Arabidopsis thaliana: one gene and its partners. The protein of the gene in region 1 interacts with the protein of each later gene in a pairwise test. Each region holds a gene or a part of one and is shown in the gene's direction. Other genes may lie near its edges. The genes, in order: PUP3, AT1G08230, RK3 and SUT4.

Evidence for each region.
Region 2: the proteins of PUP3 (region 1) and AT1G08230 interact in a protein complementation assay, tested with the Arabidopsis thaliana proteins (one large-scale study listed by BioGRID).
Region 3: the proteins of PUP3 (region 1) and RK3 interact in a protein complementation assay, tested with the Arabidopsis thaliana proteins (one large-scale study listed by BioGRID).
Region 4: the proteins of PUP3 (region 1) and SUT4 interact in a protein complementation assay, tested with the Arabidopsis thaliana proteins (one large-scale study listed by BioGRID).

The regions. Positions count from the first base shown.
Region 1 is NC_003070.9:9,859,780-9,863,335, reverse strand, and holds PUP3 (purine permease 3), read left to right. Parts: upstream 1-1,767; 5' UTR 1,768-1,901; coding exon 1,902-2,591; intron 2,592-2,667; coding exon 2,668-3,033; 3' UTR 3,034-3,045; downstream 3,046-3,556. Other genes in the region: PUP1 (purine permease 1), read left to right, coding at 774-1,136; ATJ1 (DNAJ heat shock family protein), read right to left, coding at 3,359-3,443. UniProt on the Arabidopsis thaliana protein: May be involved in transport of purine derivatives during pollen germination and tube elongation.
Region 2 is NC_003070.9:2,583,117-2,588,620, reverse strand, and holds AT1G08230 (Transmembrane amino acid transporter family protein), read left to right. Parts: upstream 1-1,651; 5' UTR 1,652-1,920; coding exon 1,921-2,008; exon of another isoform or gene 2,009-2,101; coding exon 2,102-2,332; exon of another isoform or gene 2,333-3,536; coding exon 3,537-3,821; intron 3,822-3,910; coding exon 3,911-4,041; intron 4,042-4,178; coding exon 4,179-4,418; intron 4,419-4,525; coding exon 4,526-4,906; 3' UTR 4,907-4,977; downstream 4,978-5,504. Other genes in the region: AT1G08220 (ATPase complex subunit), read left to right, coding at 5,333-5,497. UniProt on the Arabidopsis thaliana protein: High affinity gamma-aminobutyric acid (GABA) transporter probably involved in GABA uptake into cells.
Region 3 is NC_003075.7:11,388,295-11,394,839, reverse strand, and holds RK3 (receptor kinase 3), read left to right. Parts: upstream 1-1,613; 5' UTR 1,614-1,749; coding exon 1,750-3,046; intron 3,047-3,927; coding exon 3,928-4,062; intron 4,063-4,151; coding exon 4,152-4,345; intron 4,346-4,423; coding exon 4,424-4,634; coding exon of another isoform or gene 4,635-4,639; exon of another isoform or gene 4,640-4,725; coding exon 4,726-4,963; intron 4,964-5,059; coding exon 5,060-5,210; intron 5,211-5,294; coding exon 5,295-5,621; 3' UTR 5,622-6,013; downstream 6,014-6,545. Other genes in the region: B120 (S-locus lectin protein kinase family protein), read left to right, coding at 65-382. UniProt on the Arabidopsis thaliana protein: Involved in the regulation of cellular expansion and differentiation.
Region 4 is NC_003070.9:3,242,077-3,247,751, forward strand, and holds SUT4 (sucrose transporter 4), read left to right. Parts: upstream 1-1,909; 5' UTR 1,910-2,181; coding exon 2,182-2,719; intron 2,720-3,082; coding exon 3,083-3,810; intron 3,811-3,946; coding exon 3,947-4,010; intron 4,011-4,138; coding exon 4,139-4,182; intron 4,183-4,483; coding exon 4,484-4,642; 3' UTR 4,643-4,665; intron 4,666-4,751; 3' UTR 4,752-5,140; downstream 5,141-5,675. UniProt on the Arabidopsis thaliana protein: Responsible for the transport of sucrose into the cell, with the concomitant uptake of protons (symport system). Can also transport maltose at a lesser rate. May also transport biotin.

The DNA.
Region 1 (3,556 bases):
ATATTTAACAATTTCAATAAGGTTTTATGTAATACTAGGTAATCACCCGCGCTACGCTGCGGTATTTTCAGATTTTTTGTATCGTATAATTTAAATATAATTTTTAATTATCTAATCATTTACTTATGTAATAAGTAATTATTCTTAGTATTAAAATATATTTTTTCTAACAACATTCTCAACAATGCATTATACACACAATTCCTAAACAATGTTCATCTTAAACTAATTAAATAGAGGGTAATACTGGAATTCTCGAAACCTAAGAATTTGATGATTAAATTTCTTACATACTCTTCACCCTCGGCGATTTATTATATAGATATATAACAATATGCAAACTATTCAAACTATTAACTAATCCATGACTACTATACACTCATAATTTGAGTTAAGATTACAGAAAAAAATCTTCTGAGTATGAGAAAACCAATAAAATTATTTTATTGAACAACATGTAATAACAAAATAAATTTAGTATTAGTACAATTAAATATGTAAAATTAAATAATAAATACATCATTAATCTATAAATTAAAAGTTGAAAGCTTACATTAATTATTATGTGGACACATGGCACATGTTAAAGTGATGATGTGTCAATCATATGGAGAGAGTTGGCCAACTTTCATATATATGATTTGTCTTCCTTATCTTTTATTAGAAACATTATTTAAAAATTGTTCAAACCTTTATCCTGTATTTCCATATCTATTTAAAATTATGATTAAACTTGAGAATCAACTAAAATCATCATCATACATGTTTTGTAGGTGATAGCAAGAGAAGCAAGAGAGTTCAAGATTGGAGGATCAGTGTTTTACTATGCATTGATAGTGATCACAGGAATAATATGGCAAGGTTTCTTCTTAGGAGCCATAGGGATTGTGTTTTGTGCATCATCACTAGCTTCTGGTGTTCTGATAAGTGTTCTGCTTCCGGTGACTGAAGTTTTCGCCGTCGTTTGTTTCCGGGAGAAGTTTCAGGCAGAGAAAGGTGTCTCTCTACTTCTTTCTCTTTGGGGATTTGTCTCTTACTTCTACGGCGAGTTTAAATCCGGCAAGAAAGTTGTTGATAAACCTCAACCGCCGGAGACAGAACTGCCTATTCTTCCTGTTAGTGATTATGTTGCTTAATTTCTATAACTCTATAGGATTATAACAGAGCATTACTGTTATGTTTTGTTCCTAATATTATGTGTGATTGTGTGTTTTGTTATTGTTCTTGTGTATAAGTATGAATAAATTTGAAAGATATTGAGCTATTTGATAAATGCAAATTTTAATACACTTGTAGTAGAAATAGAATGATAATGATAAGTAAAAGATAGGATATTTCGTATTTGATAAAATCACATCCTATTTATCGATTTTATAAAATAAACATTTCACACTTTTAATTTAAGATTAATATAATTTATCTATTTAATATAAAAATTTGTATATAAATCAAAGAACTAATATAGAAAGAAGAAGAGAAAACAAAAGAGATAGAGTCAAAGAACCAATTAACCATCCTTAAAATCTTCTAATTATAGAGAGAATTATGAACTGAAAATCTTAATGTCATTGCACTAAATTTAGAAAGAAATAAATCCAATAATCAAAACTGTAGAATTTGATGGAAACGTAAATTAATATGAGAGATATGATATTATCTGGTCTATAAGATAATTACTACGTTTTTTATACGAAATTAAACAGTTAGCAAAATTTATGGGTATAAAATAGGAAAAGTCATGTTTTAGCCATTGAAGCCTCGTTAGGTAAAAAGAAACACAAAGATCTATCACGACAGAATCTAAAACCGGACCAAATTTGTTCCAAAACACAGCAACACCAAACCTTATAACTAACTCCTTCGACCACCAACCTTCATTATCCACAAGAAATCAGACAAGAATGGTGAAGGCTCTTGTGATCATAAACTGCATAATTCTAGCCATAGGAAACTGTGGAGGTCCTTTGATTATGCGTCTCTACTTCAACAATGGCGGTAAAAGGATTTGGTTCTCTACGTTTCTTGAAACTGCAGGCTTTCCTGTTATCTTCATTCCTCTGCTCTTCTCTTACATTACCCGGCGCAGAAGCAACAATGTGGGTGATAGTACAAGTTTCTTTCTTATCAAACCGCGTCTTCTTATCGCCGCTGTTATTGTAGGCATTCTCTCAGGGTTTGATAACTACTTGTATGCATATGGTATAGCTTATCTTCCAGTTTCTACAGCTGCTCTTATCATTGCTTCACAGTTAGCTTTTATAGCTATCTTCTCATTCTTCATGGTTAAACATAAGTTCACTCCTTTTACCATCAATGCTGTTGTGTTGTTGACTGTTGGTGCTGCGGTTTTGGGAATGCATACCGAAACTGATAAGCCAGTTCATGAGACTCACAAGCAGTACATAACTGGTTTCTTGATTACTGTAGCAGCAGCTGTTATGTATGCTTTCATCTTGCCATTAGTGGAACTTGCTTACCAGAAAGCTAAGCAAACCATGAGCTATACCCTTGTGCTCGAGTTCCAGTTGATTTTGTGTCTCCTTGCTTCTATTGTCAGCGTCATCGGTATGTTCATCGCTGGTGATTTCAAGGTTAGTCACTCTTTTGAATCTGAAAACATACAAAAGAGTTTTTAACAGAGACTTGAGCCCTTTACTGTTTTTGCAGGCCTTACCAAAAGAAGCAAGAGAGTTCAAGCTTGGAGAGGCATTGTTCTATGTGGTGGCTGTGTTTTCAGCCATCATATGGCAAGGCTTCTTCTTGGGAGCCATTGGATTAATCTTCTCCACATCGTCTCTCGTCTCGGGTATTATGATATCAGTGCTTTTGCCAATTACAGAGGTTTTAGCTGTTATATTCTACCATGAAAAGTTTCAAGCTGAGAAGGGACTTTCTCTTGCTCTCTCCCTTTGGGGCTTTGTCTCTTACTTTTATGGTGAGATAAAGTCTGGCGAGGATAAAAGGAGAATTCAGCAGGAGGAGAGTCAGGAGACAGAACAATCTTCTTTGTCAAGACCCATAAGTGAGTGTTAAAACTCAACGAAGCATGGCTTTTCGTTTAAAGACATCATAGCACTCATTTCTCCGCCAAGTAGATTAGAAGATATGTTTGAGAAACTTGTGGGATTATGCCGAAAACACAATCTTAAAGGACTTTTTTTTTTCTTTTCTTTATTTCAGCTTAACTTGTTTGATGTCTCTTATTATTCACATCAAATGAGTTTGTAATAGAATTATGAGGTCAAACAATGACACTCTCTGTTATGCTGGTGAGCTTTTTGTTCTACCAGCAATAGATGAAATTAGTCTTCATTTGTCTTCTGTTGAATGCTTTTATCTTTCATCTCTCGTGGTGGCTTCATCCCATTAACCTGCTCAACAATAGCGCCAGCAGCACCATTAACGAGAAGTCGCGGATGATCTGAGGACCCGTTAGATTCCACCTGTAAGTTCAACCAGTAGAGAGCTTCTGGTAAAGCCTGTTTGGTTCATATTCATGATTCTTCATTACTATAAGGAACAATCGCTAGTGAGGAAATAACATTCAGTTGAATCA
Region 2 (5,504 bases), 7.3 Mb from region 1:
GAAAAGATTGTTAAAAAATATAAATGCGTCTGCCGGGAGTCGAACCCGGGTCTATTGCTTGGAAGGCAATTATCCTAACCGTTGGACTACAGACGCTTTTGCATATCGAGCAAATAAACTATATATACATATAAACTTTGGATGTTGAGGTTAAAGTGAGAAAGATTTTAAAATACATATATATAGATATAATCTATATATATATTTTTGCATCCATTTTGTGAAATAAATCCTGGAGTTGAAACTTATTTACAATGGCTGTCACTGGCTTTTAATTATTAGTTTTTTCAGCAATAAATTGATTAACAAACGAAAAACATTCCAAATATATTTCAATCCCATATATCACGCAGATTTTTCCAAAATTTGAACTAGATTTCAGCAACTATTTAAAACAAAAAATGTTTGACAACCCAAAAGACAATTGCAATCCCTTAAAATGAGCAAACGCAACTAAATACATTTCTTATCAATTCACTAAATCTTATTTCTCCAAAATTTGAACTAGATTTCGACAACTATTTAAAACAAAATTTTGTTTGACAAACTAAAACACAATCGCAATCCATAAAATATTTATTTTAATTATAAATTTCAACTAGCGGGGTACCGCGGTTTTTTTTTACAGGACGGGTTTGGCAGAACGGGTTTGGAAGGACGTTACTTAATAACAATTGTAAACTATAAAATAAAAATATTTTATAGATAGAGATAATTTGCAAAATTTTATATATACTAGTTTAAATAAAAAAAATTATCTCCGCGGTGTACCGCGGGTTAAAATCTAGTCTATATATACATTTTTGCAACTATTTTGTGAAATAAATCTTGTAGTTGAGAATTATTTACAATGATTGCCACTGGATTTTAATATTTGTTTTTGATAATTAGAAAAAAAATCTTCGAATTAAATATTTGACATTTAATAAATTTTTTTAAAATCTCTTTACATTAACTACACGATTGGTTACTAAAATAAAACTTTCAAAATATTTAATATCATTTAATTACTACAAAATTATCATTATTGATATTGTTTTTCTTCATGACTATTACAATTCAATTATAATCATCAAACCGCAGAGATATTTGATAACATTTAATTACTACAAAATTACAAAATATTTAGACAATGATTCATAAACATATGATAAAGAAGATCAACATTAATAAAATAAATGAGCTTTTTTTACGGGATGGGTTGGCGGGACGAGTTTGGCAGGACGAGTTTGGCAGGACGAGTTTGGCAGGACGAGTTTGGCAGGACGTTACTTAATAACAATTCTAAACTATAAAATAAAAATATTTTATAGATAGTTACATAGATTGTTACAAATTACAAACTTTTATATATACTAATTTTAAAATATAAATTGTCCCTACGGTATATCGCGGGTGAAAATCTAGTATTATTATTATTAACCGAAAGAAATTTCTTTCAATTTTAAAAATTCTGTCAGTTATAATGAAAATGTAAAACTGTAATAAGGATTTAATATACATATTAACATGTTATATTGATATGTTATTACTATTATCCAATTTGCTTTTTCTATTACTGTTTGTTGGATGTATTGAAAATTTAAGATTGTCTCCAAAATCGATTATTTTGAAATTATATATAAAAAATAAGATTTAAGAGATTTGTTTCCAAAATATTTTGAATTCTCCATTTATTTTCATATTCTATCATATATTTTTTAAAGAAAATAATCAAGATATACACATTTTATAACTTCATAAATCGTTTGACACAGAAGAGAATCGATAAACTATAAATCTGCAATGTTTAATATTATTACGAAATGCTTTTAGGTAAAAGATGATATGATAGCAAGTGTGTTTTTTGGACTTATAAAAGTGAGTAGCACCTAGTGGGGGGAGAGAGAGAGAAAGAGAAACAAAGAGAGCGATAAAGAGATGGGTGGAGAAGAGAGATCAGGAGATGGAGAAAAAAGAGGGGAAGAAGTAGTTGATGCTGGTTCTCTCTTCGTCCTTAAATCCAAAGGTACGTTTTATTAATTATGAAATCTATGAAACTTAACGTATACTATTATAACCCATTTGAAGAAGATATGATGATGATGATGATGGAAACTAGGGACATGGTGGCACTGCGGATTCCACTTGACGACGTCTATAGTGGCGCCTGCGCTACTGAGTCTACCGTACGCCTTCAAGTTCTTAGGATGGGCTGCCGGGATATCTTGTCTGGTCGGAGGAGCAGCCGTTACTTTCTACTCGTACACTCTTCTTTCTCTTACTCTCGAACACCACGCTTCTCTCGGCAACCGTTACCTCCGCTTCCGTGACATGGCTCATCACATCCTCAGTAATTCTTTTTCTTTTTACATTTGCTCTTTCCTATAATCAAAGCTGCGACAAATTTACCTTAAGAGAATTTCATTCAAGATTGAGATGTATAGTTGTACGTAGACATACGTGTCTATATGAACTTCTATACGTAATAATTGACACACGGCCGGTACCACTCCAATAATTTCATCCACGCAATAAAGGAAGGTACATGTCCTACGTAATAATTTGTTTGAACAAAAAAAAAAGTTAATTTTTGTGTGAAAACGCGAGATGGAATACTTATAATCACGTTTGCTATTACGAACAACGGAATTTTATAAGAAACCAAGTAAACATTGGTATGAGCTCAACTTTTGTTCGTGGTTGGTTAATATCACAATATATGTATTGTGTAAACCTATGATTTTTAAAAAAATACTTTTCTATACTGTTTGGTCTTGTTTCGAATTATAAGAAGAAAAAAAACTAATCATATGGAATTCATATTATAGTGAATTTTTTGATATGGCTTGCTTCGGTTCAATTTTGTTGGGATCCGGATCGAAGTGTTGACCATTCCACATTTCCACTCATACCACTGTTAAGTTTCAACTTTTTCATGCGTTAGATAGCTGTCTCTTTCCGTGTCTTGTTTCATTTTTGATGCAGAAATTTGTCTTTCAAAACTAATTTCAATTTTTAAAAATATGTGCGTGTCAGAAGAGTATTCATAAAACGTTGGTGCCGACCAAAATTTAATCTTATATAAGTAAAGTTGGATAGGTTCGATCTGCTTTCAAAAGTAGAATATTCTAAATTTCAGATCCTACATAGGATTCGATCCAAATTAGGATAGTTACGCTTTGACTGTCGACTACCAAGGAAATCCACATGTCAACAAAACTTTTAAGACAAAATTTAACGTATTTATCTATGCAAAAACTACAAAATGATGAGAAAAAATTGATTGAAATTTTTTATCTTACTGGATAATTCTGTTTTAGTAGCTAATATGAAACTAAATCCATTATGCATCGAATCATCGATTTGGATTTTAGTTTTCATTAGAGTACACCGCTAATCTGAAGGATTTATAGGAATTCGATTTAGCCCACTTTTTCGGGACTGTATACAACTTTAATTAGGATAAGGTAAAGTATAATACAGGTTCCGAATGTTTGATTAGTTAAGATCAGTTTGGTTTTCCTCTTAACAATTATTGGGGTGTGTTTGATAAGGTCCGAAATGGGGAAGGTACTACGTTGGACCAATACAAATGGCGGTGTGCTATGGTGTGGTTATTGCCAATGCGCTCTTGGGAGGGCAATGCCTAAAGGCAATGTACTTGGTAGTGCAGCCAAATGGGGAAATGAAACTCTTTGAGTTTGTGATTATTTTTGGATGCTTACTTTTGGTTTTGGCACAATTCCCATCCTTTCACTCTCTACGATACATCAACTCACTGTCTCTCCTCCTCTGCCTCCTCTACAGTGCTTCTGCCGCTGCTGCATCCATCTACATTGGTACTCTTCTTTACTAAACCACTTTACTCTTAATTCTTAAACCTTTTATATTGTTACATTTAAAAGGTGAGTTTTCTGTTAAATATCAGGAAAAGAACCAAATGCACCAGAGAAGGACTATACTATAGTTGGTGATCCAGAAACTAGAGTGTTTGGAATCTTTAATGCTATGGCTATTATTGCTACTACATACGGCAATGGCATTATACCTGAAATTCAGGTTTCATTTTGTTTCCATTCTTTGTTTAGAACACCACTTTAATATTTATTCATCAAAAACAAAAGGGCAGTCACATGATCGACTCAGTTATATATATAGAGTATTTGATATATGAATACTATCTTCTTGCAACGCAGGCAACAATATCGGCACCAGTGAAAGGAAAAATGATGAAAGGGTTGTGTATGTGTTACCTTGTAGTAATAATGACATTTTTCACAGTAGCCATCACAGGATATTGGGCATTCGGTAAAAAAGCCAATGGACTTATCTTCACCAATTTCTTAAATGCCGAGACAAACCATTACTTTGTCCCTACTTGGTTTATTTTTCTCGTCAATCTCTTCACTGTCCTTCAACTTTCGGCCGTTGCTGTGGTAAATACAATTTTTTTTTAACGTTTTTCTTTCACATATATACATTGTTATTATTTTATTTTATTTTCGTCACATATATACATTGTTACTAATTTTGAGTTATGCAGGTATACCTACAACCTATAAACGATATTTTGGAAAGTGTGATCAGCGATCCAACAAAGAAAGAATTCTCTATCCGCAATGTCATCCCTCGACTAGTTGTGCGTTCCCTCTTCGTCGTGATGGCTACAATCGTTGCGGCAATGCTTCCATTTTTTGGAGATGTAAACTCCTTGTTAGGCGCTTTCGGTTTTATACCTCTAGACTTCGTTCTTCCTGTAGTTTTCTTCAACTTTACTTTCAAGCCGTCTAAAAAAAGTTTCATTTTTTGGATCAACACTGTGATCGCCGTGGTTTTTTCGTGTTTAGGGGTGATTGCTATGGTAGCGGCGGTTAGACAGATTATAATAGATGCCAATACGTATAAGTTGTTTGCGGATGTATAAAAGAACATGCAAAGCAAAGTGAGATTGTTATTTCTATATTTAAGAATAAGCCTTTTTTTTTCTTAGAAAAATGTTTATGATTATAAATTTGGAAAATAATATTCAAATTTTGATAACAATATTTTTACATAATTTAAATTAATTAATTTTGAATGAAATAAATACAGATGAAATAAATATCTAGAAAATTGATAAATCACAGTACAGGCCTGGAATATGAGCATTTGAAACCCAACGCAAAACAATTCCTAGAAACGGAAGCCCAAAAGTTGGGGGCTATAATTAAACCGGATTTAAAAAATCGGTTTGATTGGTTACCCACACAAAAATCTGGTTCAGGATTTTAGACTCGTTTTCAATTTCAAGCGTGTTTGGTTCGCCGGCAGAGAGACATAACCAAACAAATAGGGTTTAAGCTCTACTAAAATGGCGACGACGTTGAATCGAATCCTGAAGCATAGATCAGTCTCTGCTCTCAACAAGCATCATCAAGGACTCTTCTCCCTCACTCGATACGAGAATCATGACTCTCTCCCTTCTCAAATGCCAGCTCTTCGATCAACCACCCGTTCTTTCCTCGATTTTTATAAGGTAGGAA
Region 3 (6,545 bases), on another chromosome or scaffold:
TGAAATTTTGGTTTGGTTTGGTTTATAAATGGTCTAATTAGTGGTGGAAACTGAATGCTTGCAGGCTTGGTATTTGTATACTCATGGGAGATCAGAGGAGCTTGTGGATCCTAAGATCAGGGTCACATGCAGTAAGCGAGAGGCCTTGAGATGCATACACGTAGCGATGCTATGTGTTCAAGATTCGGCTGCGGAGAGACCCAACATGGCTTCAGTTTTGCTTATGTTAGAGAGTGACACAGCGACGCTCGCTGCGCCTAGACAACCAACGTTTACTTCCACCAGAAGAAACTCCATTGATGTCAACTTTGCTCTTGATTCGAGCCAACAATACATCGTTTCTTCTAATGAGATCACTTCAACGGTTGTTCTTGGACGATAAGATTCTTTTGTTTGTTCTTTTGTAAAGTTTTTTTTTATATAATTGTTGTGAAAACGTATAATATTTTTTGGTTAATTAGGATAATGGAGTAATGGTTGTTGAAACTTGAAATTTTGTTCATAAAGTGAAACATTACAAATGGGGTTTTATTACAGTATGATGTTGATATTTTGAAAAAATCACCACACTATTCTTTTTCAAAAATATCACAATGGATCAATTTACAAGTATAAACAAATGAAAACAGATAAAATATCAAAAAGCATTTATCTGAAATAAATCTTCAAATAAATCGTTTATACTATAACAAAGGTGGTAGTCTTAAAATATTTAGGTTAGTTTTGAAATGAGGATCATAATAATTGTTTTTCATTCTATTAAATATAGGTGAGTTGTTTCAAATATTGTAGGATTATTGTGTTTAATTTAATTAAAATGTGATTGATTTTTATGTATAGAGTTATTATATATAAATCAAACGAGGAACGAAGAATTATGAGGATGTTCAAAAATAAGACTTTTGGAGCGTTGACTATGGTAATTAGTACTGTTTTGATGGTGAAAAGAGTATTCGGTCTTCGTATTTCATACTTATATAATATACCTAAAACCGTGTTAACATAAATTTTCCTCTCCTCCAAGCTCCAAAGCCAAAAATCGTCAAACAAAATGCATAGGACAACATTATATTTGGTGATGAATAATTCAAATGTAGACTCATTATTAAATTGAATGGAATGATGAATTATTTAGAGTTAGAGAAAAAAAGAAAAAGTCAGGAAAACGTGAAACGACCCCTTTCTTTTTTGTCTTCGGAGAATGCGGAAATAAATTAAAGTAGGGTTTGTTTGATGAATACTAACATTGAAGTTCTTATTGGGAAGGATAAAAAAAAAATTGAGTTATTTATTACGAAAAAGAACACTGAAATTTATATAACTCTCGAAGCATGCATACAAAAGGTTGACTGATAATAAAATACGAAAAAGCAATATATTAAGTAATTTATTAAAAAAAATGGTCATCAATAATATCATATTTTGAAGAAAAATTCTGAATTTATGAAGTAAAAATGACTATTGGAAAAGGAAAGAAAGCCTGACAAAAAAAAAGAAGAAGAAGACTTTTTATTTGCTAGGTCAACTATGAATTGGACTGTACACATAGTACATAACTAGATATTTTTTCCAAATGCGAACAAGAAGACCAAGAAAAGAAAAAAAGCAAGGTAATATATTATTGACAGAAATAAAATCGGTTACGTAAGGTTCACACATTACACAAAACATGTCCGATATCTCCAATGGAAATAAACTCTCATACTTTTCTCAAGAAAGAGTGAAAAACAAAAAACTTGGTTTAGAGAAATGAGAGGTTTACCAAATTTCTACCATTCTTACACCTTCTTCTTCTTCTTCCTCTTAATTCTGTTCCCTGCTTACTCTATCTCTGCCAACACTTTGTCGGCTTCAGAATCTCTAACTATCTCAAGCAATAACACCATTGTGTCTCCTGGTAATGTCTTCGAGCTTGGTTTCTTCAAACCCGGTTTAGATTCTCGTTGGTATCTTGGAATTTGGTACAAGGCAATCTCTAAGAGAACCTACGTATGGGTTGCAAACAGAGACACTCCTCTCTCTAGTTCCATCGGAACTCTCAAAATCTCCGACAGTAATCTTGTCGTTTTGGATCAGTCCGATACACCGGTTTGGTCGACGAATCTGACCGGAGGAGATGTGAGATCTCCATTGGTGGCAGAGCTTCTTGATAATGGTAATTTTGTGCTCAGAGACTCCAAGAACAGCGCTCCAGATGGAGTTTTGTGGCAGAGTTTTGATTTTCCGACAGATACTTTACTTCCGGAGATGAAACTTGGCTGGGATGCCAAAACCGGGTTCAACAGATTCATTAGATCATGGAAATCTCCAGATGATCCATCAAGTGGAGATTTCTCGTTCAAACTCGAAACCGAAGGCTTCCCTGAGATTTTTCTATGGAACAGAGAATCACGAATGTACCGGAGTGGTCCATGGAATGGAATCCGGTTTAGTGGTGTACCGGAGATGCAACCATTTGAATACATGGTTTTCAATTTCACTACGAGTAAAGAAGAAGTGACTTACTCATTTAGAATCACTAAAAGCGACGTTTACTCGAGATTAAGCATAAGCTCCTCAGGATTGTTACAAAGATTCACTTGGATTGAGACAGCACAGAATTGGAACCAATTCTGGTACGCACCAAAAGACCAATGTGATGAGTACAAAGAGTGTGGTGTTTACGGTTATTGCGACTCGAACACTTCACCTGTTTGTAATTGTATTAAAGGGTTTAAGCCGAGGAATCCTCAAGTGTGGGGATTGAGAGACGGGTCGGATGGTTGCGTGAGGAAGACGCTACTGAGCTGTGGTGGCGGAGATGGGTTTGTGCGGTTGAAGAAAATGAAATTGCCGGATACTACCACGGCTAGTGTGGACAGAGGAATTGGTGTGAAAGAATGTGAACAGAAGTGTTTAAGAGATTGTAATTGCACGGCGTTTGCGAATACGGATATCCGGGGTAGCGGGTCGGGTTGTGTGACTTGGACCGGAGAGCTTTTTGATATCAGGAATTATGCCAAAGGTGGTCAAGATCTTTACGTTAGATTGGCTGCTACTGATCTCGGTTAGTTCATTCTCCACTATCTCTATTAGACTAAATGACATATGTTTGGTTTTCATTTTCCACATATTTACTTTTGCTAAGTAACGGTTGATAATAGTCTTCAAGATCACTTTTCAAAACATGTAAACAGTTTTATACATACTAGAAACTAAAAAGACATCATAAAAGATTTTGTCAGTAAGACTAAAAATTGATGCTAAAACTGCCCAATCAAGTTATTGAGTAATCCTATCACATTATACTAAAGATTTTCTTAAACGACAAAAGGAAGAAACGTTTTTTAAGGGTTTCAAGAATAGTAATTAACTTGGTTGTTAGATAAAGCACTTTTTTTTTGGGGTAGAATGTGAGAATGGTGTTGAATAGTGCAAGTCAATGTTATATTGTTGTTGGTTAACGAATTTGGAATTTAACAAAACGTTTTTCAGTTTTATTTTCCCTCTTTTCAAACTTCTTAAACTTGATTGAGATGTTGACGCATTCGGTCTTGGCATTATATGTGAAAACTCTTGTGATAAAGAACTAAGGTCCAATGGACTTTTAATCTTCTTAAAAGATGCAACGCATGAGTGAAACTTTTGATTACTACTATATTCTTCACAAAAACTTATCAATCTCAAGAATAATATGGTAAGGTAGATCCAAAGCCAAAAGAAATTATTTTTAGGTAGACCAATCTTTATGTTTTGTTTTTATTGGCGATAACAGTATAACGCTGTTTTTTGTTTGTTGGCGTTTATCTTTAATCAAAAGTACGACAATGTTTATTATTTTGTTAAATCATAAGACTAATACTAGTTTGTTTTATAAAATGATATTCATTTCCATGGTCGAGGTCCTAAATGTTGTGCTCAATTTGACATCTCTTTTCATTATTTCAGAGGACAAAAGAAACAGAAGTGCAAAAATCATAGGTTCGAGTATTGGAGTGAGCGTTTTGCTTCTTTTAAGTTTCATTATCTTCTTCTTGTGGAAAAGGAAGCAGAAGCGATCAATACTAATCGAAACACCTATTGGTATATCTGTAAATTTTAATTCCTTTCTTTTTGTTTGTAAATTTCTTAAAACTAATATCTTTACTGTTTTTGGTGTCTGTATGTAACAGTTGATCATCAACTGAGAAGCCGAGATTTGCTAATGAACGAAGTTGTAATATCAAGTAGGAGACACATATCTAGAGAAAACAATACAGACGATCTCGAATTGCCATTGATGGAGTTTGAAGAAGTTGCCATGGCCACAAACAATTTTTCTAACGCCAACAAGCTAGGACAAGGTGGTTTTGGTATAGTTTATAAGGTAAAAATGATTGAAAACTTAATTCATAATCTATCGCTGGACAAATATTTCGTTGTGTAACAAAATTAAGGGTTACAGGGAAAGTTACTTGATGGTCAAGAAATGGCAGTGAAGAGACTATCAAAGACATCAGTTCAGGGGACTGATGAGTTCAAGAATGAGGTAAAGTTGATTGCAAGGCTTCAGCACATAAACCTTGTTAGGCTTCTTGCATGTTGCGTCGATGCGGGTGAGAAGATGTTGATTTACGAGTACTTGGAAAATCTAAGCCTCGACTCTCATCTATTTGGTTAGTGTCTCAACTCCTTACAACTCTGTTCTAACAATTTTTCAATGTCTTTAAAAATAATGTACTCAATCCAGTGATGATTCATTAGCAGACAAATCCCGAAACTCTAAGCTAAATTGGCAAATGAGATTTGATATCATCAATGGTATTGCTCGAGGACTTCTATATCTTCACCAAGATTCACGGTTTAGAATTATCCATAGAGACTTGAAAGCAAGTAACATCTTGCTTGATAAATATATGACTCCAAAGATCTCGGATTTCGGAATGGCTAGGATCTTTGGACGGGATGAGACAGAAGCTAATACGAGGAAGGTGGTTGGAACCTAGTAAGCAATCATTCTCCAAAATATTAAAAATCTTTGTTTGAAATCTGAATTAAAAAAAAATAACTCAAAACTTTGAGTCTAATCTTCGTTATTCAGCGGTTATATGTCTCCTGAATATGCAATGGACGGGATATTCTCGATGAAGTCAGATGTTTTCAGTTTTGGGGTCTTGCTTCTTGAGATTATAAGTAGCAAGAGGAACAAAGGATTCTACAATTCGGACCGTGACCTTAACCTTCTCGGTTGTGTAAGTTAAAAACCTCTCAAACTTGATCTTGTTTTACACTCAAAATAATGATAACACTAGAAAAATTTCGATCATTATACACAGGTGTGGAGGAATTGGAAAGAAGGAAAAGGGCTAGAGATCATAGATCCAATCATCACAGATTCTTCATCAACATTCAGGCAACATGAAATCTTAAGATGCATACAAATTGGCCTCTTGTGTGTTCAAGAACGTGCAGAGGACAGACCAACTATGTCCTTGGTAATTTTGATGCTCGGAAGCGAATCAACAACTATTCCTCAACCTAAAGCGCCCGGTTATTGCCTGGAGAGAAGTCTTCTTGACACTGATTCTTCGTCGAGTAAACAGCGCGACGATGAATCATGGACAGTGAACCAAATTACTGTCTCGGTCCTTGATGCTCGGTAATGTGACTGTCAACTAGCCAATCTTCTATACTAAGATGACTAAATTGAGCGACAATAAGAATCAACTAGGAAAGATGGTATTAGTTATGTGCATAGTATTTTCTCTGTACGTCTCCGTTGCAAAGGTTACTACATGATTCAATTGTCTTAATTAAGCATGTATTCTGTAATTGCTTTATGGATAACCCAAATAGTCCTGCAGTTATAGGACATCAATGTGATATTTTGAAAGATTCTCAGACTTTCATATTATAAATTATGGCTACTAGAAGAGGCAAATATTGTTGGTTAGTAGAATTTCGGGTTGTACGTTTTGAGATTAGGTTTGTACATGTTGTAATAGATTTTTTTTTTAATAAGTACATACGTTATAAGAATTTTTTATGATCAGCAACACCTATTTCCATCGCTAACCATGGCCAAAATCCGGTGGATTTAATTTATGGGCTTTAGGAAGATCATGGGGGTATAGTGGATTTTTTGTTTTTAACTGATGACAGAGTAAATCCTTCATGGTTCCTTCATTTTAAGGTGATTTCAAATTTTCCTTCATTTCAAGGTGATTTCAATGTTTGTAGAGGCTTGATTAAAATTGTTTTAGATCATAAGGATTTTTGTGCATCAAAAGTGTTCGCAATTTCAATGTTTGGAGAGGCTTGATTAAAATTGTTTTAGATCATAAGGATTTTTATGCATCAAAAGTGTTCTGTCAAAATTCCTTAATTAACCTTTGATGAGTAGCTCGTCCTTTAATAATGATAGTTGATATACAGAATTGTGATTTATGAGCACATTAATATTGACATGAATGCTTGCTAATTTAAATTTTAAATGAGAGTTTAGAAATTTAGAATATTTAGCATAGATAATTAATTTCTTGAGAGATGATTTTTTTTGGTCGGGTTCTTGAGAGATGATTAGTGTT
Region 4 (5,675 bases), 6.6 Mb from region 1:
AAAATAACATCTGAAGAGGAAACCGACACATGTTGGTAAAATAAGAAGGCACACGTCATGTAAAGAAGATGACATATGTCAGGAAAGGAACATGTCCTTACAAAATAGAAACCAAATAAACCAACAGTTCATAAATGCTCCAGTTATGCCGCGAGCCATCTTTTCTTCTTTACTAAGAAAATTTCTACATTATTTTAAGATTTTTCTTTTCCATGTAGTTGTCTCATACTTCCTTCGAAAAGATCTTTCTCTAACTTCAACCTTGGGGATCGAGCAACCATATTTCAATCAACAGATTCTTTCATCACTCTAATAACGGACAAAAAAAGAAAAGATGTCAAAAAAAAAAAAATTGGAATATGCACGTTGATACTATAAGTTCATTTAAATCAGTCGTTAGAGTAAACCTTATTGAGAGTTCAAATTCATTTAAAAACCTGATGAGATAATTATATAATTTCTTATAAGATTTTTTTTTCTTGTAAGAATTTAACGAATAGAATTTTTCTCTCTATTACTTAAAATTCCTCCTCGTCAAAAATTGCAAATGCTTGGCAGTTTTACCATTTTCTCAGAACTACCGTATGAGAAATAAAGTACGTATTAAAAAACAATACAAGCTTTAAAGATAAAAGAGGCAACAAATTTTTTTGACAAAAAAATTAGATGAAAAGAAGTGACGACAAATAACTGAGAAAACACGTTTTGCAAAACTAAAAAAAAAAAAAAAAAGAGAGAGTTGGAAAATGTTTGGAGCTGGTGGGCATTAGTTGGCTATGCAACGCACGGACGCGGATACTTTTCAACTCGTTGCTTACGCGGCCACGTTTTCGTCACAAACCGTGTTTCTTTTGCGGCCTTTTAAGTTTTAATCAAACATTTTTGTTTTCATTTGAATCTTTTTTTTAAGGCGGTTATACGAATAAAATCATTAAAAGGAGAAACGGGCCTTCATGTTTAGGTTTTTGTTCTTCCTCATTTGGGTTATTTAGCTTATTGGTTCAGCCCACAAGAGTTTCCTTCAATGGATAGGGCCTTCAGTTGCATGCCATCATCCTTTCTTGTTTCTCTATAAGCCATTTTTGCAATGAGAATTTCTCAATTTCTTATTTTTGCAATAAAATCATTTTGCCTTAGATGATGGTGGAATCATCCGTTTTTCTTTATTTTGACCCGGTGAGTAATTGAACGCAAAAAATAGTCCAATTATTCAAAACCTTACAATTTCATATCGCCATAATAAACCTAAACATGATTCGAGTGAGCAACTACATAAAAAGGGGAACGAAATGTTGGTACAAAACTGAATTCCAACCCAATCAAGTGCATACTAAACTATTGAGCAAAAACAAAGATAAAAATCAGTTCACCTACCCTAATTAAAACATGATTAGGCCTAAAAGACTATAAGTAAAGATAAAAAAGATGCCATTTTAGAGTACGTTTTGGTAAATTGGCGCCATCGTGTTATACGTTTAAACCGTATAACCTGAATCATGCAGCACGTGTACGGCTCACATTGGCCCAAGCTTGATTAACAAACAATAACGTCATTTTCGTATTTCAACAATTTTGATCGCTCAATCCTTTCGACCTAATTTCCATATTAAGTAATTTATTAGTTAAAACAACGGACTCAACCAAATTACATATTAAGAGAATATTTGAAAATTGTCTATGTAGATGAACATGTATTTGAAAATTGCGTAAGCACACTCTTTCTCTCTCTCTTTTTTTTTTTTTTTTTTCCCCCTCTTCTTTCTTTGAATAAAGATGACATTTTTTTCTGTTCCAAACACAAAACTGCATATTGATAGTGTTATTGAATACTCAACGTCTCTTCTTCCAGCTTACGTAAGTGGAACTTACTTTTTGCCCCGTGATCCAACAGAAAATGACGAATGCTCCCTCAAAATCATTTCGTTTCAACAAAAATATGTATTTTATCCATAGAGAAACAACAAACCTTACACTATATACCCTCTTTTAACGTGCCCACTTTTCATTATTTACACAATTTCCCCAACAAATTTAAAACAATTTACAAAAAGCACTCAACTTTCCTAAAGTAGATTCCTTTAGTCCAATGGAATTCTTACAACATCTTCTTCTTCGCCACCTTTTTCTCTCCACTTTAAGCTTTTTCACTCTCTCTACGCCACGACGACTGTGAAGCGAGAAATGGCTACTTCCGATCAAGATCGCCGTCACAGAGTCACTCGCAACCGTCCACCAATAGCTCGACCCTCTACTTCTTCATCTCGTCCCGTTGTATCTCCTCCTAGATCAAAAGTTTCGAAGCGTGTGCTTCTCCGTGTAGCTTCCGTCGCATGCGGGATTCAATTCGGATGGGCTCTTCAGCTTTCTCTCCTCACACCTTACGTTCAAGAGCTGGGGATCCCACACGCTTGGGCTAGTGTGATTTGGCTTTGCGGTCCTCTCTCTGGTTTGTTCGTGCAACCGCTCGTTGGGCATAGTAGCGATAGGTGTACTAGTAAGTACGGTCGTCGGAGACCGTTTATTGTCGCCGGAGCTGTGGCGATTTCTATCTCTGTTATGGTTATTGGTCATGCGGCGGATATTGGATGGGCATTTGGGGATAGAGAAGGGAAGATTAAGCCGAGGGCGATTGTTGCTTTTGTTTTAGGGTTTTGGATTCTTGATGTTGCTAATAATATGACTCAAGGTCCTTGTAGAGCTCTCCTTGCTGATCTTACTGGTAAAGTTCCTGACTTTAGTGTTGATTGGGTCTTCAATTTGAAATCATTCAAATGTAGTAAATTTGGGATTCTCGTGATTATACACTCACATGCAAAACATGAAAATGCATAAATTTGTGATTTTGGATACAATTTGGGGTTATATAATTACCTAATTGGTTCCTAACAATCAAAAGGTCCCTTCTTTGTTTCTGGTCGGTGGCTTATCGTTGAGTCACAGAGACTTTGTTTTTTCTCTTTCCCTTGAATCAAATTGTGGATTTTGGTGAAGTTAATCGTAGCCTACGATTGTGTGATAACCTCATGGAGTGAAAACAAAGATATGTTGTGTTTTAATTCTTGTCCTATTGCTTTATTTTCAGAGAATGATAATCGCAGAACCCGAGTTGCAAATGGCTACTTCTCTCTCTTTATGGCTGTTGGCAATGTTCTTGGCTATGCTACTGGATCATACAATGGTTGGTACAAGATCTTCACTTTTACGAAGACAGTTGCATGTAATGTGGAATGTGCCAATCTCAAGTCTGCCTTCTACATAGATGTTGTCTTTATTGCAATAACTACGATCCTAAGCGTCTCAGCGGCTCATGAGGTGCCACTTGCTTCATTGGCTTCTGAAGCACATGGGCAAACCAGTGGAACAGACGAAGCTTTTCTTTCTGAGATATTTGGAACTTTCAGATATTTTCCAGGAAATGTTTGGATAATCTTGCTTGTTACAGCATTGACATGGATTGGTTGGTTTCCATTTATTCTGTTTGATACTGATTGGATGGGTCGAGAGATCTATGGCGGTGAACCGAACATAGGGACTTCATATAGTGCTGGGGTCAGTATGGGTGCACTTGGTTTGATGTTGAATTCTGTTTTTCTTGGAATCACTTCTGTGCTCATGGAGAAACTTTGCAGAAAGTGGGGGGCTGGTTTTGTTTGGGGAATATCAAATATCTTAATGGCTATTTGCTTTCTTGGAATGATAATCACCTCATTTGTTGCGTCTCACCTTGGCTACATTGGCCATGAACAACCTCCTGCCAGCATCGTGTTTGCTGCTGTGTTAATCTTTACAATTCTGGGCATTCCATTGGCGGTAAGTTTACTCCTGTAATTCTGCTGTCATGTTACTTACACTATTACTTATGATATTTTGCCTGCTCATCTGTAACAACATGATGAAATTTATTTACGCTTTCGCTGTAACTAATGCTATTGCTACTCTTCTGCAGATAACTTACAGCGTCCCATATGCGTTGATTTCCATACGTATTGAATCCCTGGGCTTAGGTCAAGGTGTGCAGGCTTATCTTTGGGTGTTGTTTCTTATAAAAGTTCTGTTGTGTTGTTTCTTAGAAAAGTTCTGCTCAATGATTTTACTCTACATATGAGTGTTGTTTCTTATAAAAGTTCTGTTGTGGCAGGCTTATCTTTGGGTGTGCTAAATTTGGCGATAGTCATCCCACAGGTACACTTCTTTCAACCATCCTTTTAGCATTATATTTGCCGCAACTCAAAATCATATTCTTCTTTGAATGTTTCTGCCTGTAAAAGGAAGTCTATAAGCATAACATGCAGCAGAGTTACTGCATTATTTGTCAATTGTCATTAATAAACGATTCGTTTTTTTAGTTATGGTCATTGGCCAGTGATGAAAGTACACTTTTTATTTCTCTATATTAGTTGATTGATGAATTTCTTCCCTATGTTGGTTATGGTTTTTGGCATCAAACTCAAATTCTGTTGTTCAATCATTTATGTGTTTGCAGGTAATTGTGTCTGTTGGCAGTGGCCCATGGGATCAACTGTTTGGAGGTGGGAATTCACCGGCACTTGCAGTAGGAGCAGCTACAGGCTTCATTGGCGGAATTGTAGCTATCTTGGCTCTTCCACGGACAAGGATTCAGAAGCCCATCCCTCTCCCATGAGATTCTCTCTTTTGTTATATAAGGTAATAATGTCACAATTCTTTCACAAAAAGTACATAGTAAGCACTTAAGTTGTCACTGATTATTAAAAGCGGCTAATGCGAAATAGATGAGTGTCAAGCGAGGAACGCATAAGGGGAGTGCTTGGAAATGGCAAGGAGATGGAACACTTAATGTGATCCTTGTCGAAAATTCGTGCAATGGCTTCTCGTGTGACTAACTTATTTGCAGCTACTAGGACTTAATCCCCTCTACTTTGGGGACTATGATCCTTGTATACACGAGGCACCATAGAACCAATGAAAATAATACATCATTCAGTTTGTGAGGTATATGCATCTCTCCTTTATTGGAAGTTCCAGTTCGGGATCTTCTCTGTTTTTTTTGTTGTTGTTGTAAATTAATGTAAAAACCTGTGTACAACAGAGTGTTTGTAAGGGCCCCTGAGTTCTGTAACTGTTTATAAAGTTCATTTTCTTTAGAATTAGTTTGATAAAGAAAACCTGAGATCCAAAAAATTTACATGATCTGTGTAGCAAAAGTAGAAAGGAACCATTACGAGTACTAGTAGTCTCTATAGTAGCAGTAACCACCAATAGTCAGCAATAGATTAGGATGACTCTTGGGAATATTAAGACCATCTCCAATGGTTAAGAAGTAATTGGTTCTTAACCAAACATCTTAACAATTATTTATACTAAAATTTTGAAACATGACATGTAACTGTTTTTTTCACTCATGAAAACTTCTTAGCTAAGAAGCAAATCTTAGTTTTTAATTTATTTTGATTTAATTTTCAAAGTTTAATTCTAAAATATTATTCTAAGATACACCTAAGATAAACCATTGGAAGTGCTCTAAGCCTAGTAGGAAGGAATAGTAGCAAATCCCAGTTTTCTTCTTGAGTGAGATGTTTGAGATTGAAATTACTGTAATGCTATTGAGATTCTGTAGGCAGCGTATCAATAATTGAGAGAAATAAGTAGATGCTAATACAGCTTGAGCAATACTTATCCTTGTAAAATTGTGAATG